Linked DNA regions of Drosophila melanogaster. The protein of the gene in region 2 interacts with the protein of the main gene of each other region in a pairwise test. Each region holds a gene or a part of one and is shown on either strand. Other genes may lie near its edges.

Region 1 (4,740 bases), on a different chromosome or scaffold from region 2:
GATAGCCCAAAAAGGCAGCTCCTTCGAGTGCACTTCCCCAGTTCCCTCTCGGGGAATAGGTCCCGAACTTTGTGCACTTACCTTTCAGTTCCCTGGCCATCCAACGGGTGGCAAGGAGCACGCAGAGCTTGGAGTGGGCAAATGCTTCGCGGGCGTGGAACTTCACCGACCAGGTGCCCACATTCAGGGGATCGTCGAAATCGATTTTGGCGCCCTGATGGGCATGGGCGGAAACGAAGAGGATGCGTCCTTGCTCCGAGCGTTGCAAGTGTGGCAGGAGCAGGTGGGTCAACAGGAAGGGGGCCAGATAGTTCACCTGGCTGTGCCGTTCGAAGCCATCCTCGGTGGGCATCTGAGTGTTGGCGAATACCACTCCGGCATTGTTCACCAGCACATCGATCCGCTCGAATTCCGCCATCAGCTGGCCGGCAAAGTGATGGACACTGCGCAGCGAACAGAGGTCCAAGTAGCGTGCCTCCACGAAGTACCTGTCCTCCGGATTGTCATCCTCATCCAAGGAATTCAGGGGTGTGCGGCAGCCCAGCTCACGTTTGATTATGGCCGCCGCCCGCTTCCCGGCCTCGAGATTGCGGCAGGCGAGGATTATCCGGCCACCTCGGCCAGCCAGAGCCTGGGCTATTTCGAAGCCAATGCCGCTGTTGCCGCCGGTGACCACCACGATTTGCTCCTTGATTTGATTATCGTTCGGACAGCGCTGGCCGCTCATTAAGGTCCTGGCATGCGGGTAAAGGATACAGATTAGATGGAGTTGGAAGGATGGAGAATGTTGGATGGCAAAGGGGCGGGCATGTGGATCAGTGGGTGTGGCTAGTGGTTTATGGGTAGCTTAATGATGTCCTGCATTCATGTTGCGTGTGTGCACTTAGCTAAATATTACCACTAAAAGTGATTCTTTTTATATGAAACTCATAAAAGATCTTAAAAAAAGAGTCATGCTTTTACAATCGAAGAAACTTTTTATATAAGATATTTTAAAAAATGTTATACATCATCAGTTTTGCGTATAGTAAGTTTCAAATTGACATAATTAGTTTAAAATAGATTTGCTTTAAGCTATAGCATGTTTTTTAATATTTTTGTGTAAAATAAACCTTATACATTTTTTCAAAGTAGTAAGGGTGGCGGTTAAGGGGTGGTAAAGGCATATAGTCGGAATTTTGGCTTATTGATAGGCGTTAATGGAATCAGCATGACTATTTGCATAAGTCTGCCTGCGGCCATTTGGCGATTTGGCTAACTCTGGCCGCTCATTTTCGACTCCATTAATTACGGTGCGTATGTCTGTAAACAATAATTGTCAATTTATTTAATTTCAAGCCTTGGGAAACAAACGAAATTACTGCAGCACAGGCATTATCTAAAGCTATATGCGAAATGTGTTTTAAACTCTAAACAGGTACAAAGCTCACTAATTAGTATATATTCGTGCTGTAGTCAATTAATTCGCATGGCTGAGTTCTAATTCATTTCCAATTCGTTTAATTGCACTTTTTGTGCGAGTTAGTCCACTTGTCTGTAAATTTAGTTTAATATTATGCATATTTGTAACAAAATTCCATTTGAAAGTAATAACTTATTTCGCTTGTAAGCTATCAGCTCAAATGCAGCTTATTTTGAAACTTTAAAAGATATTCACATAAGGTGCTTGATTTTTATTATAATTGGCTTTGTAAACAGAATGCTCACTGCAATCCAAATTTTAAGAGCCCACCTCTCCCGCAATCGAAGGCAATTTAATTTCTGCATTTTGCAGTCAGCTACTTCCTCTATAATCTTCACCGCATTCCATTTGCTCCACTTCATTTGGCGGCGACTTATTTTTGGCACTTAGAGCCAAGTTTGCCATGCCATCCCTCATTTTGGAATTCATTTGGCATTTCATTTACTTTGAGCCAAACTTTCGCAAATCCACTTTGTAAATATTTTGAGGTGGCGGAGGGGCTTGGGCGGGACTTGCTTGCAAGGGAAGTGCAGAGTGCCATATTGCAGTCACTGCCATTTCCGCTTCCGCTTTCCCAGCTTAAACTAACACCTGCAACTGCGAAACGACAGATAGCGTTGGGTCACAAAAACCGCGATGCTCGCGGTGCTCAGGAATAACAAAAACTAGTAGGCGGCGTGGTAAATTAATGGTTGAACTACCAGATACCCTGTACAAAACAAATTAGGCAAAACTCTCAAATTAGAGAAGGGCTTTCAAGAAATACTGTGTTGAATATGTATTAATCCATGTATGCATATAGAGCCATTCTCCGTATAGTGTAACGCTAACTTTACCAACTATATATAAATTTATTATTTATAGAAAATTTAAATGCTTTCCTTAAAAATGTTCTCTATTTACTTTTTAATGCATGTGTGTTTTTTAGTTGGCTACGTGTTCTATCTCCAATTTGTTTCGCATGAATAAAGTCCACCCTGTTAACCCTCGAGTACCGGAGGGTGTAAAAAACAAAAGTGGAAATAATCTTCAGATATTACATATTATCCGGGTCTTCTCTGCACCACTGCTCATCCACTTCCTCTCGAGTTCTCCACCATCTCCGTATGAAATCCACTTAAAAACTTTTCCGCGAATGGTGACGGAGGGGAAGTTTTTACTGGGATGCTGCGACATTTATTTACGTGTGTCCGAGGCGAAAGTTTTTATGCCCCAAAAAAATGGGGGCTTCTGGGGTACGGTAGGGTGCGGTGGGGTAGGGTAGGAATGGGGTAGGGAATGTGGCCGGGTGAATAAAAAATATCACACAGTTTCCGTTGACTCATCGCACTCACCGCACCGTAATCACAATGCCCACCGTGAGGGCCGCTATCGTGGGCCACCACGTGGCGAAGGGATCCGCCTCCTCGAACATGGTCAGCAATCGTTCCATCCTTGAGTGTATGCTTTGGATGCTACTGGGTGCGCGTTAGGTCCTGCCTCACTTTCTTCCCCTGCAATCGATGAATGAATCTGTGACTGGGTCTGCACGACACAAATGTTGAACGAAAACTGAACGGCATCCGTAGTAATAAATATGAATACTCTTTGCGTGGTCACCCGCTGGGTGCAGCATAAGTGAATGTATGTACACACGCGTAACTACAGTGGACACTTCCTAAATGGGACTACAGAAAGTGCTCAAAAATATTGAATAGTGGAAATCTTTAAAATACATGCAACGCCTCATGAAATGCTGTTCAATCTGGATCCGATTTCCTTAATCACATTTATTAAGTATTTATTTTTTAAGCTTTTTTGAAGATTTAATGATATTTTATGCCTACTGTAGTTTTGGTTTTGAGTGACCAGTAAAGAGCAAAAACTGAAACTAGCATGCCCACTTAAACGGGAGATACCCTAGAATAATCATGATTGCATATGTATTCGATTAGATTTATAATATATTCTCGTTTTAAGAATATGATAGTTATTTATGGCTGCTAGTTAGTTCTAAGTGATTGTTCCTATCGAGAGATGCCTGTTTAAATGCGGGCTTGCGAGTGGACCCGCTCTCATCTGAGCTCCGATTTCCAGAGCCGGCGGAGAAGATGTCGTTGACAATTGAATTTAAATGACCACCCCACTCGGCATCGCCGCCTATTTTTTCGACCCCTCAAACGTCACCGGCATATTTTCAATTTACATAAATGCTTGTTGCGCGGCATACGAAATGAGCGCTAGAACGAGAAGGGAAAGTGGCGCCCCCAAGCTCCTCATTTTCCTGGCCCTCGTTTGATTTTTCCGAGTTTGCCACCTGTCGTTGTGGCTCTGAAGGTTAGGTGCAAATTTGCACAAGCCGCAATATACAAGAACGTGAGAGGGTCGGAAAATGCTGCTCGCTATTTACACACGTTTTCCATTTTTTAATTTGTGTTTTTACTTCGCTTTTCATCCCATTTTTTTCCCTTCATTTTCTGCGGCTTACGCATTCAGTTTGCATATTTTTGTCTGCGGCAATGCAGACTAATGTGATTCAATTAATCTTTTCGCGTTTTTACCTCGAAGATTCCTTTTTTATTTATATTTATTCAAAAGTGTACTATATACGCCAGACTGAGTAACCACAAATTGTAATTATTCTTTAACAGCTGTTGTCTGGGATAAAATATGAAGAAAAGTGGTTTGGGATATAGTGGAACATTAATTAATGGGTGTGTTCTAATATTAAAACTAAGAAAACTTATTTAATATTTCAGATAATTAAAGAATTAGTCAATTATAAATTATGAAAATTAGATTATTTGATGATTTTTTAAACAGAACAAAGAAAGAAGAATTAATCTATACTACTATAAAATCTGTCAATTCTGAAGTGTTTGTAAACGCACTAACTGGAAAAGCGTTCTCCTTTATTTGTACTTACATAAATTCGTAAAAATACAAACCCTTAGAATGGAACACACTTATTTACCTTGTCCATTGGCGCACACGCTGTCCAAATTTATTATCCGACAAGAACTCAGCGAAGAGCCATCATCAGTTGTTCACGGAAAATGCTGGAAAATGCCATTCATTCGCTTTCGGTCCATTTCACCGCAAACCTCTCACCCTTTGAAACTTCAATTCAATTACGACGCATCCATAAAACATGCCAGTGACTAAATATATATTTTTCGAGTAATTTAGTTCGTCGTATCACATGCAATGTATGTAGCTTTCACAGCCCCTATGGGAGCCATGGACTATGGAAAGTGCACTCCATGCACTTTGCGCCTCCAGTTCGCAGTGTGTTGTTT
Region 2 (2,902 bases):
ACAATGAGCTCAACAAGTGTTGTAATTATGGATATGTTCTCTTATCGATAGGAACAACGGGAAGTGTCATACTTACAACGGCCATGGCGAAAGCTCCGTAAAATATTTCATTTCATTTGATAGGTCCATTTCGTAAGTGTTTAAAAATTCCACTTAAATGTTTCAGTTGTTCGTTGGAACCCCTCTTTTTACTATAATATAATAAAAAAAAGACACTCAGAGAAAAATCCGTTTTCAACCATCTCGATTTGACAATTTCGACCCCAAAATCTAGCTAAGATTGAATAATGCTCACCATACTCAGATTGCAAATGACTTTGCTCTCATTTGCCTTCCTCTCTCAGTTTTTCAACCTTTCCCTTCCGTCTGAAAATATCAACATTCAGATCGTTTTCGTCTCGAAATCGAAGGTTAATTCTCAATTTTTCTGGGTGTACTTTTTTCTAGTCTCTTAATTAATTCAGCAACTTAAACTTTGCCCGATAGTGCGATCAAAACGAACCTTGTTTTTTTCTTTATGTGATGTAAAATGAGGTAAGTTATAAAGAATCGTCCAAAAAGTTATTTATCGAAAATCATTTATTGAATATTTTGTAGAGCATAGAGGTCAAATTTATTCCTTGCACTTTTGTTCGCAGAGCTCCTGGGTTCCAAATCGGTTCTCATTGCCGCCGCATCCGCCGTAGATGAACTTTTCACACGAATTGGTTTCGGGATGATAACTGAAGCTGGGTATAAAAGCGGCACACTTGATGAGACCATTGCCATCAATACCAGCGGGCAGTCCACAGATAGCTAATAGATTGAGAATGTGAATTAGAATGGTTTCGATTTCCTGAGCAGCTCCCAACTTACGATCCTTGAGGCCGAGGGCCACAGCCACCAGGGCGAACATCAAACAGACGGCAGCAATGAATTTCATACTGATTGCGATTTTGAAAACTATGTATATCTCCCAGCTTCCGTGGAACGACTAATGGAAATCGGAGGTGTAGCACTAGGTTATATACGCCATGCCGATCGGCAGATGGGAACTACATATTGGCTGGGGATCTTATCTATATGCTCATGAACTTTCGGTTCATTAACGAGTGCTCGTGAATTTGGTATATAAACAGACGAGACTTCGAGTACTATGTGCTAGTGCTAGTGTTTGTACTGAAAATAATGCCGGAATAGCAAATAAATCTAGGAACTACGTTCTGAATAAAGTAAACACGATTAGGCAGCGATTTGTCATTCGGAAGTGGGTTTGTCCGATTTTTTCCCAAATTTCATTTATTTCCTCTTTTGCTTGTATAATATATTTATACATTTCGTTTTCAGAATCTTTGCGATATAAGTGCATTATAAAAGTAGTCATATTTTATCAAAATTACTGTTTACACTGTTTAGTTCCCAAGATTAATTAAAATCGTCTATTCATGACTCAAGTTTTTGTGAGTCCGTCGGGTTTCGAAATTAATGACTTTCCGAGATGTACTGCTAACCACTTCTGACACTTACAAATGTATCTACATACTGTACTGCTAGTACCAGATGTGCGAATAAAACGAAATAGATATATAAATCACAATGGTATATTTATTAAAATTTATAATCAAATTATTCAAATAATCAACTCAGTAAAGAAATGCTTTTAAAAGGCTGATGAAGTTGGATGACAAATAAATTACAAACTAAGAACTACAATTTTTTAAGACGAGGTGCTAGTTTCTGTGGCCACTTCGCTGTTTTGTTCGGTTGTTGAGTCCGTGGAGGAAACCGCAGACTTTACCAAACATGCCTGTTCGCACTGCTCCTTGGATTCGAAGTTGTTCTTGTTGCCGGCACATCCACCGTAAACGAACTCCTCGCAGGATTGTGTATCCACGTTGTAGGCGTAGCGATAGAACAGAGCGAAACAGCGACCGGTTTCCTTGGGCTGATGACAGTCCTCCGGAACAGTGAGCTCACTGGCATCAGGCAGGGGTTTGGCCACCGCGGGCTCCTCCGCCTTCTCCACGACGACATCCGAGGGAGCTGCACGAATTCCGGCTGCCAGGAGCAGAACAGCCGCGAATACTATGAAACTGAAGCTATATCTAAAGCACATTTCGAGTCCGTTGAGTGGATGATGAGCGAATGATTTCGGCTCGCTCGGATATTGCGGCTTAAATACTATCCGTCCGAACTGATTAACTCACGTACTACTATACTCACTCAACTGGGTTTTTGCCCACCGTTTTGCCTCTTTTTGTGTACTTCATTTATCGGAGCGCCAGCTTGTTTGTCCAACTGATTCGTCGCCGCATGTAAATCACGGCGGTGCCTCTCTGACGTCTATATCCACGTCCATATCGATATCACCTGGCACTGACAGCTCTCGGAGAAGCTTTCGCGGCCCAACCTTCAATTGCAGATCAACGCACCAACGCAAGTCAATCATAATGCTGGCCATAAAATCATATTCCAAGTGGCTTCCGTATCGGTGTGACAATTTTAGTCAGCCAAATCACGTTTAGCGAGCGGAATGGGAATCTAACTGAATTACCTATAAACTGGTTAACTGTCGGTTGAAGTTTTTTGTGTATCTAACGAATGGGGTAAGCTTTGGAGCTTCAGAAGAAATGAATAAACTGTCTGGTTAAGAAATGTTCCTAATAATCGCTCGTTTGCGATTCTAATCATTAGGTAATTTTCAAAATTGCGCATATAGGTGGAAAATAATGCACTTAATTTCTTAATTCCAATTATAGATAAACATTTGATATACTGCTTACTTGTAATTAGTTAATTATTAAACGTATATATTTCGCATTAGCAAAAACCCATTTCAAGTAATTATTTTAAAAATACATCAACAAATAATTTCATCTAGCATTTACAATTTAAAAACAATCTCGTATTTTGTGACCGCCAT
Region 3 (7,578 bases), on a different chromosome or scaffold from region 2:
CGAGATGCAGAAGCAGCTGGTGGCCGCCGATCTGAAATTCAAGCTGGAGAACAGTATCCAAGAGGCCAAGCAGCGCCGGTTCGAGCAACTGCAGCAGCAGCTGCATCACTCCCCACACTTCAGTGCCATGCGGGAGGTAGAGCTGGCCGCCGCAGCCGCGGCTGCGCAACTGCATCATCATCACCAGCAGCAGCAGCAACAGCAACAGCAGCAGCACGCACAGCAGCAGCATGCGCAGCAGCAGCACCAAGGTGGCTCCGAGTTCATGAAACTCTACTACGATGACTACGACGACTCCAACTCGGACAGTGACGAGGAGATCAGCGTGACGTGATTTGCGACTGGAGGCGAAGATGGAGCTGCAACGGTCCGTGTACATATATGTTTTAATTGTAAATTTATTGATGCATTCAACTTATTGTATTTAATATGTGTATGATATTTTTTCGAATTTAAATTCCAAAACGAAATAAACTCCTTTGAAAATCATAATGCCAATACTAATGCAAAGATCACTTGACATTTCAGCAATCAACGCTGATTAGGAATATATATGTATATATAGGTTTTATTAGGTGTCTTAAAACGAACTAAACATAAAATCATTTCGTAGTAACATTAGTAAGTGTGTGTACAGAATACTGAGCCAACAACCTCGGCTGGGACTTAAGAACTAGAAATCACTCTTTCGACTAAACTAGGACAGTTAACAGATTGCGACTGGTCTTTGTACATGGAGGTTACATGGAGGTTACACAAGGAATTGGCCGGTGGGGAGCGTCGATCCCCGCCAGAGTTCGAGTTTTGGCTTCGAGTTCTATTCGTCGTCAATGCGAATGGCATGGTTCACATGGCCCTCGTCACTTGTGAGCTCTCGCGGATCGCCAATCACCGTCGTGGTGGTGTACTGCACCTGGGAGTCGCTCTTGAAGATCTCCTCCGACACGGCGGGATTGTCGATGTCCTTGCCGGTGATCTTCAGCACATTGCGTCGCTGGATAAAGTCAATGATCAGCGAAATGAACCAGCCCAGGAAAACGGTGAGTAGGCAGCCGATCATGCTGTACCACATGTAGCTCAGCCGGAAAATGGGCCAAGATCTGTAATTTCTGGGTTAAGTAAAATATATATATCTAGTACCTAAGATGTTATCTTACGTGAATCCCCCCTCCTCAATGACTTCCAAAGGTTCTGTTAGCAAGCTGCCAATGATGTTCGTCATGTTCACATGGCAGTCGCATTTGTCGATGGATGTGGGCAATGCGGGCTGCTCCACGCTCACAATTTGGGCAACCACGCCCACAAATATGACCAGGGCCAGGGACAAGAGTCCTCCGTAGAAGGCGCCCTTGGTATTGGCCTGTTTGCAGGCGATTCCCAGCACGAAGAGACCGAGGGTGACACCACCAATCAGTCCATTGAGGGTAAGCGTGGCCTGCAGAACTCCTCCCAGGTGCTCCACGATGAAGACCAAGCCGAAGGAGGCAATGCCAAAGCCCAGGGACATCCACTTGGCATAGGTGGCTCCCTTCTCCGGAGAGATTTTGATGTTCATGCCATTGACCAGCAGATCTTCGCAGGTCACAGCGGACAGGGAGTTCAAGGCAGAGGCCACGGTGCTGTTTTTGAGAAGGAAAAACTTTGAATAAGACTTCCATAAGCTGTTCTGGAGTTTAAGAGCTCACCCCAAACTGGCAGCAAAGATGCCAGCCACAAAGATTCCCGCCACGGAGCTAATATGCTCGTAGGTATTAATCACGTAGTAGGGCAACAACTGATCCGTGGCTGAAATGCGTCCAGCAGTCAAGGGATCGCAGTCCGCATAGTGGGTGAAGACCATCAGACCCGTGTAGAAGTTCAGCAGGAAGACCACAATTAAGCCGATAATGGCAAAGCCCAGAGCAATCTTGGCTAGCCTCAAGGACTTCAAGGACATGCATTTCTGAACGGACGCCTGGTTGGTGCAGAACAGCGAGGTCCAGTAGAAAAAGCCACCAATGACCACCGACCAGACGGTGTGACGTGTTGTGGGATCGGGATCCATGCTGCAGAATTAACCAGAATTGTTAAGGTCCTTGGATTCATTTGGCTTAACTCACTTGAAGAACTCCAAGCGATTGTGATCGGAAGCAGTCTGAAAGACCTGGATGGGATTGCCACTGTAGAAGCAGCCCAAGCCCACGATCAGTACCAAGGATACAGCCAGGACAGCAGCCTAAAAGGATTTAGATATATCTTCTCGTATTGATGAGTTCCACCATCTCGTTACTCACCTGGAAGGAGTCGGCAATGACTACAGCCTTCATGCCTCCCTGTGAGGAGTAGAAAACGCAGACCACATAGATCAGGACCACGGCGATTTTGGTGTCCAGTCCCGTGGCCTTAGACAGAGCAATTGCCGGTGCCAGGACTGCCACAGCCGTGTAGAAGCACATCTGAAGGAGAAGGAGTCTATATATAAATCTCATTCATTTTCGAGTTAAATCCCAGAACCCACCTGAATGACATAGAGCACTGCACCCAGAATCCTGATCTCCTTGCCAAACCGAATGCCCAGATACTCATAGCAGCTGGTGAGCTCCATTTTAAAGTAAATGGGATAGAAGATCTTCACAGCAACCGGAATGACAATCACCATGGGTATTACGATGAGCACAAACTGGGTGCCCTGGAAGTACATCTCGGATGGATTTCCCAGCAGTTCGATGGCCGTGATGAAGCTGGTCGTGAGACTGAGTGTCACCGGGAAGATGCTCATCTCGGAGCCCAGCAGGAACTCGTTGGACGAGCTGCCGCCCTTCTGGAAGAAGCCATAGAAGATGCCGATGCCCAGCGAGATGACCAGCATGCCCAGCAGAATCACGTAGTCGTAGCCCGAGAAGGTGGCCTTGTGACTGGGCGCACTGCATTCCTCCAGCTCCGCGGATGCGGGAATCTGTTGATTCTTGAAGGCTCTCAGGAGCAGGGTGGCGGCATTATCGAACTCCACATGCTCCTGGGATTCACTGGGCGACTCACCGCGCACTATCAAGTACTTGTGGCTGGAATCCAAGGGAGCAGATCCTCCTGGAGTCGGAGACCGTTCCTGCAGGGCCAATGCGGTTATAGAATGTGCCAGGGCGCACAGGGTCAGCAACTTCAGAATGGTGTCCTGGGTGGCGAACATCCTGGATCACGAGCAAGGACTAAGGATGGGGATCGAAGGATGGCGATTTCCGGGAGATCACTTTCTCCAGCCGACTTTCCACCCGGCGACGTGTGCGCAAACTGAAACGAGATCGGATCGGAAGCGATTTAGACTTGGATCACTGGCAAGATCAAGGTTCGCAAAGAGGAATTGCAACGAGGCGGCATTACAAAGCACCATCGCACCGTGGGTGTCACACTTGGTGTCATCTTGGGGCCCATTAATTAATTAACCAAACGATCTGGATCTGCGGCTCTGGATCCGGAGGAGGGGAGGCCATCGACCATTGGCCAGCGTCTCATGTTCAAGTACAAATACATTATTTCCTTATACAAACAATTCCATTTGAGCGTAATTGCTTTATGATTAATATGTTTTCTTCATGGGGCGGCAGTCAAGGCAACGCTCTTCTTTTTTTTTTTTTTTGGGTGATATTTCTTTTTCGGATTGTGGATTTCGGATTCCCAGATCCAGAGTTATGGCTCTTTTGGGGTTACAAGTGGACGGGCGATGAGCAAGAAGGCCCAGCAGAAAGCTGCCTCAAACTGGTCGTTGATTTATTCAAACTGGTTATTTCTGGCCAAAAGAAATCGCACGGCTTGCAAGTGGTAAGGAATTTGTTAAGATATTTGATTTTATTTCACGCCAATTCTAGGATGTATTTCATTGCATAATGCTACTCGATGTGTAACAAACTTTTTTAATATATTTCAATTTCCTTGCTGATTTATGCAATTACTTGTCGTTTTAATTGTCAAGTATTTGAATTCATTACACAAGCCTTATCTTTTGAGTAACTTAAATTTATTACACATGCCTCCTCCGTCTCCTCTTAATTGTTAAATCATAAAACACACATTCTGCAACTGATCAACGATGGCAATCACTTCCCCCATTCAATTGATCCCCAACACTCGACAATTATTCTTGATGAGACCAGAAGCCATGGCGCCTCCTCACTCCTCCTGGCGCCTCTACTGCCCCCGCCCACTTTTCCGGCCAATCAAACCATTTGAGAAAAGCTGCTCCTGTGCGACATGGACATGTATGCACCATATGGCCTGAATGGCGAATAGATTGGGCTACAATGTTTGAGCGAAAATGGGGAGTGCGAGCGCGCCAATCGAGATTTAAGCGAATTCAACTGGTTTAGATCGGTGGCCATTGGACTGAGCCGGATTGCGCCGGTTTGGGCCAGAAATTCGCCATCGCTCGGCGAATCTTCGAAGAGCAGCTTCCAAGTCTCCGAAGGCAAGGCCGGAAACTAAGAGCAAAAGGCCCGACCACAAGAGAGATGTCCAGATGCACAGAGAGAAAATACCAGTAAGGAATGGTCTAGGCTCCTTCTAGTTTCTAGCTCATCGTAGAATATTTTATTCAAGTTTACAAACTTCTGATTTGAGTAATCTAAACTACGAAATCATATTTATTGCTCATTTGTTTGTTGGCTATTTGTGTTTGGGGTGAAACCCGTTTTCCTTGGTGGAGGAACACACGGGTCAAATGAATTGTGGGCTCTGGTTGAGGACAGGCGTCTGGCTTAATTGGTGGACTTTCGCCCAGCCCATTCCAAAGGCCCTTCGCTTCCATTAAATGGCATCATCATCGTCTTCGAGCCCAATTAATATGCGTGTTTTGTTTTGCTTTCCTCGGCTTTTTTTTTATCTCGTCTGGGCGAACTCGCTTCTATTCTATTATAATTAATTTAAACAAAATAGTCCGCTTGACAAGTTGGCAGAAGATACCAATCGCAAGCAAGGAGATTTTCCACGGCCACGACAGCTGCAAACATTACCTAGTTCAAAACTGGCGAGATTAGCCAGCTAAAAAACAGAGTGAAGTAACACAAGCGACAAAATATTAAAATGCCTTCGGAATGGGTATAAATACTTTCAGCTTTATTAGCTTGTTCGACAAATGCATTTTACAAATTGTTTTTGCCCTCGCAACTTTTTACTCTAGTTTTAGTTAGTCATGAGTAATTGGAATAAATTTCCTTTGGGCTAATGCTTTTTACTATTCTGATGTTCTGAGATATTTTGCAACTACCAATTATCAGTGACAATCGGTATGATAAATTTCGAAATAACTCACTGGCATGCATTGCCGCTTTCACTGAAAAACTGAACAACTTCTCACCTTGGTTAGTAATTTTTCAATTCGTCAAATTCGATATCCTTCGGTTGTCGTCTTCGTTTAGCTCTCAAATGGAATTAGGTTTGCTGCACTGTATCTTAGAAATGTTCTGAACTGGATTTGCAATATTGTGCCACGATTGTTTCTGTATTTCATTAACGTGTTTTCTTAGTTAGTCACAAAATGAAACTGATCACTGTTTGGATTTGGTTCCTCGAGCCGAGTCCTTGCCGTAGTTTTTTTTTCACTTCGAGCACTAGTTGTTTCCCTTTTTTCCCAGCTCGTCGTCGATCGCTGTTCGAACGTATTGACAATTTTTAAATGAATGAGTTTTGCAAGCGGCCGTTACGCTATTTTATACAACACCCAAGGCGGCGCAGGCAAATCACAGATCTCGGATCTCAGGCCTCGGATCTCAGATCTCGGGCTCCCAGCTTCAGCTTCGGGAACCCCACCACATCGAGATCTCTTTGGGGTCTGAAAAGCGAAGAAGAGAGAAAATCGATCTAAGAGCAGGCGAAGCGTCGCCGGATATGATATCGCCGATCTCCACGGAGAGGGAAACTCGATCGCCAGCCAATGGTCGTGTGGAGTGCTAAGATATAGGCAACTTATTTTCAACAGACTCTGGGCACTAAGCCTATTTTAAAAAATAAAACCAAAGACATTATGGTTCATACTATAAATGAAACAGATATTAAATATTAAATGTTTATTAATGTAATATTATATAACTTTAAATTAAAAGGTTAGTAGATTGAGAAAATGATAGGAAACTTATAATCAGGTAGGTATGTAGGTATTAAGTAAATGTATATAAAAATATGATGGGTATAAGTAAAATAAGCTTGAGGAAACGTTTAATTGAAAATCGTGTATAAATGTTTGCCAAACCGTTTCCTAAATTGCTATCAATTAATTTCAGGGAATTGAAACGCTCTGATTCATATGCGAAGATTCATTTTCAATTCTGCAGAAGACGCTCCACGAATGGCCGGAAAATATCCGGTATTTTCCAACTCCTTTGCATATCCCTCGATGGCGATTGTTAATTGTGGCAAGTTGAGCCAAGTGAAATGCGCTGTAAACAAACATAAAAGTTTAATTGCTGGTTCTTGGCCAGTTTGGGATTGCGTGATGTGTAAATATTTCCATTTGTCTCACCCTTTATTACTTTTTAAGTAACTCGAGTCACAAAGGCAAAAAGTGCGCCAATTAATAATGGAAACGATTATATCTTTCGTTTTTTGTACACTTGTCGCCTCGCCTCAATTGCTGGCTATGTGGTGTTTTACTTGGATAACGATAACGAGTTCGATCTGGTACGATTTTGATCAGGAATGACACTCTTTCTCCCGCTAATAGAAAATTATTTGTTTACAATTCCTGTGCGCCAGTGTGGGTGTTTAATTCTAATTGAAATGTATTCCCAGTTTGAATTTAAATTTGAACTGAAACGGCGCCGGTCAGTTCAAAAAGAGTTCAAATCGCAATAAATTGATAAATGTAAAATGTATGTACATATCTAGTATGTAGTGGCAAAAAGAAAGGGGGTCTCCAAATATTCAGCAGGTACTTCCCCCCAAGCGGAAAGTCACCAAATCGACGCCCATTTTTCTAAAGGTCAGTGAGTTAGCTAGGCAGATATGCACTTAAGCATGAAGCGTGTTGCATTAATTAAATATGCCCGCCATGTCGTTAACTAACAGTCTCATGTAAATCTTGGCCATTCAACTACCTCAGCCGACGAAAAGCAGTTAAAAGCAGTTCGGCAAATGCGTCTCGGTGTTTAGGCCCGAAACGATCCCATCCCATGCCATTCCAATTCCATTCCATTCCAAATCCCCATCCCCATCCATATCCAAAGCAAATCCAGCTAACTCTGTTCCTCGGATGCAAGTGGCCGAAGACGTCACAAAACTGGTCGAGCCCCTCGTCCGCCAAGTGGTTCTTTCGGACTTTGGTCCGGTTGGGTGGGTATCAAATCACATCACATCAGATCCGAACGGTTTTTCAAACATTACAAGACAATCTTCACACGTGCTGGCTGCGTGCTGTCGAAACTGAAAATACGCAATACCAATAAAAAGAATTTTGGATTCGATTCCGGCATTACACAAGATCAAGCACCCCTCCTCCGTCCTCCCTCTATCCATCGTATGGGAATTGGAGAAAGCGTAGTAGTCAATTAATTTACTAATGAGAGTGGGCGTTGACATTGCTAAAACACTTGTTTATAAAAACAGCACAGAAAA

What was found. The genes of interacting proteins can lie anywhere in the genome.
Region 1: the proteins of IM33 (region 2) and naz interact in a two-hybrid assay, tested with the Drosophila melanogaster proteins (one large-scale study listed by BioGRID).
Region 3: the proteins of IM33 (region 2) and CG5687 interact in a two-hybrid assay, tested with the Drosophila melanogaster proteins (one large-scale study listed by BioGRID).

The regions. Positions count from the first base shown.
Region 1 is NT_033777.3:18,325,925-18,330,664, forward strand, and holds the start of naz (nazgul), read right to left. Parts: upstream 3,019-4,740; 5' UTR 2,895-3,018; coding exon 2,797-2,894; intron 735-2,796; coding exon 82-734; intron 1-81.
Region 2 is NT_033779.5:3,695,677-3,698,578, forward strand, and holds IM33 (immune induced molecule 33), read right to left. Parts: upstream 983-2,902; 5' UTR 923-982; coding exon 856-922; intron 796-855; coding exon 614-795; 3' UTR 542-613; downstream 1-541. Other genes in the region: CG3604 (uncharacterized protein), read right to left, coding at 1,697-2,095.
Region 3 is NT_037436.4:1,933,115-1,940,692, forward strand, and holds CG5687 (uncharacterized protein), read right to left. Parts: upstream 5,990-7,578; 5' UTR 5,480-5,989; coding exon of another isoform or gene 5,384-5,479; 5' UTR 5,327-5,383; intron 3,268-5,326; 5' UTR 3,167-3,267; coding exon 2,498-3,166; intron 2,436-2,497; coding exon 2,274-2,435; intron 2,216-2,273; coding exon 2,100-2,215; intron 2,046-2,099; coding exon 1,686-2,045; intron 1,620-1,685; coding exon 1,158-1,619; intron 1,101-1,157; coding exon 818-1,100; 3' UTR 519-817; downstream 1-518. Other genes in the region: Dbx, read left to right, coding at 1-334; CG46523 (uncharacterized protein), read right to left, coding at 5,384-5,479.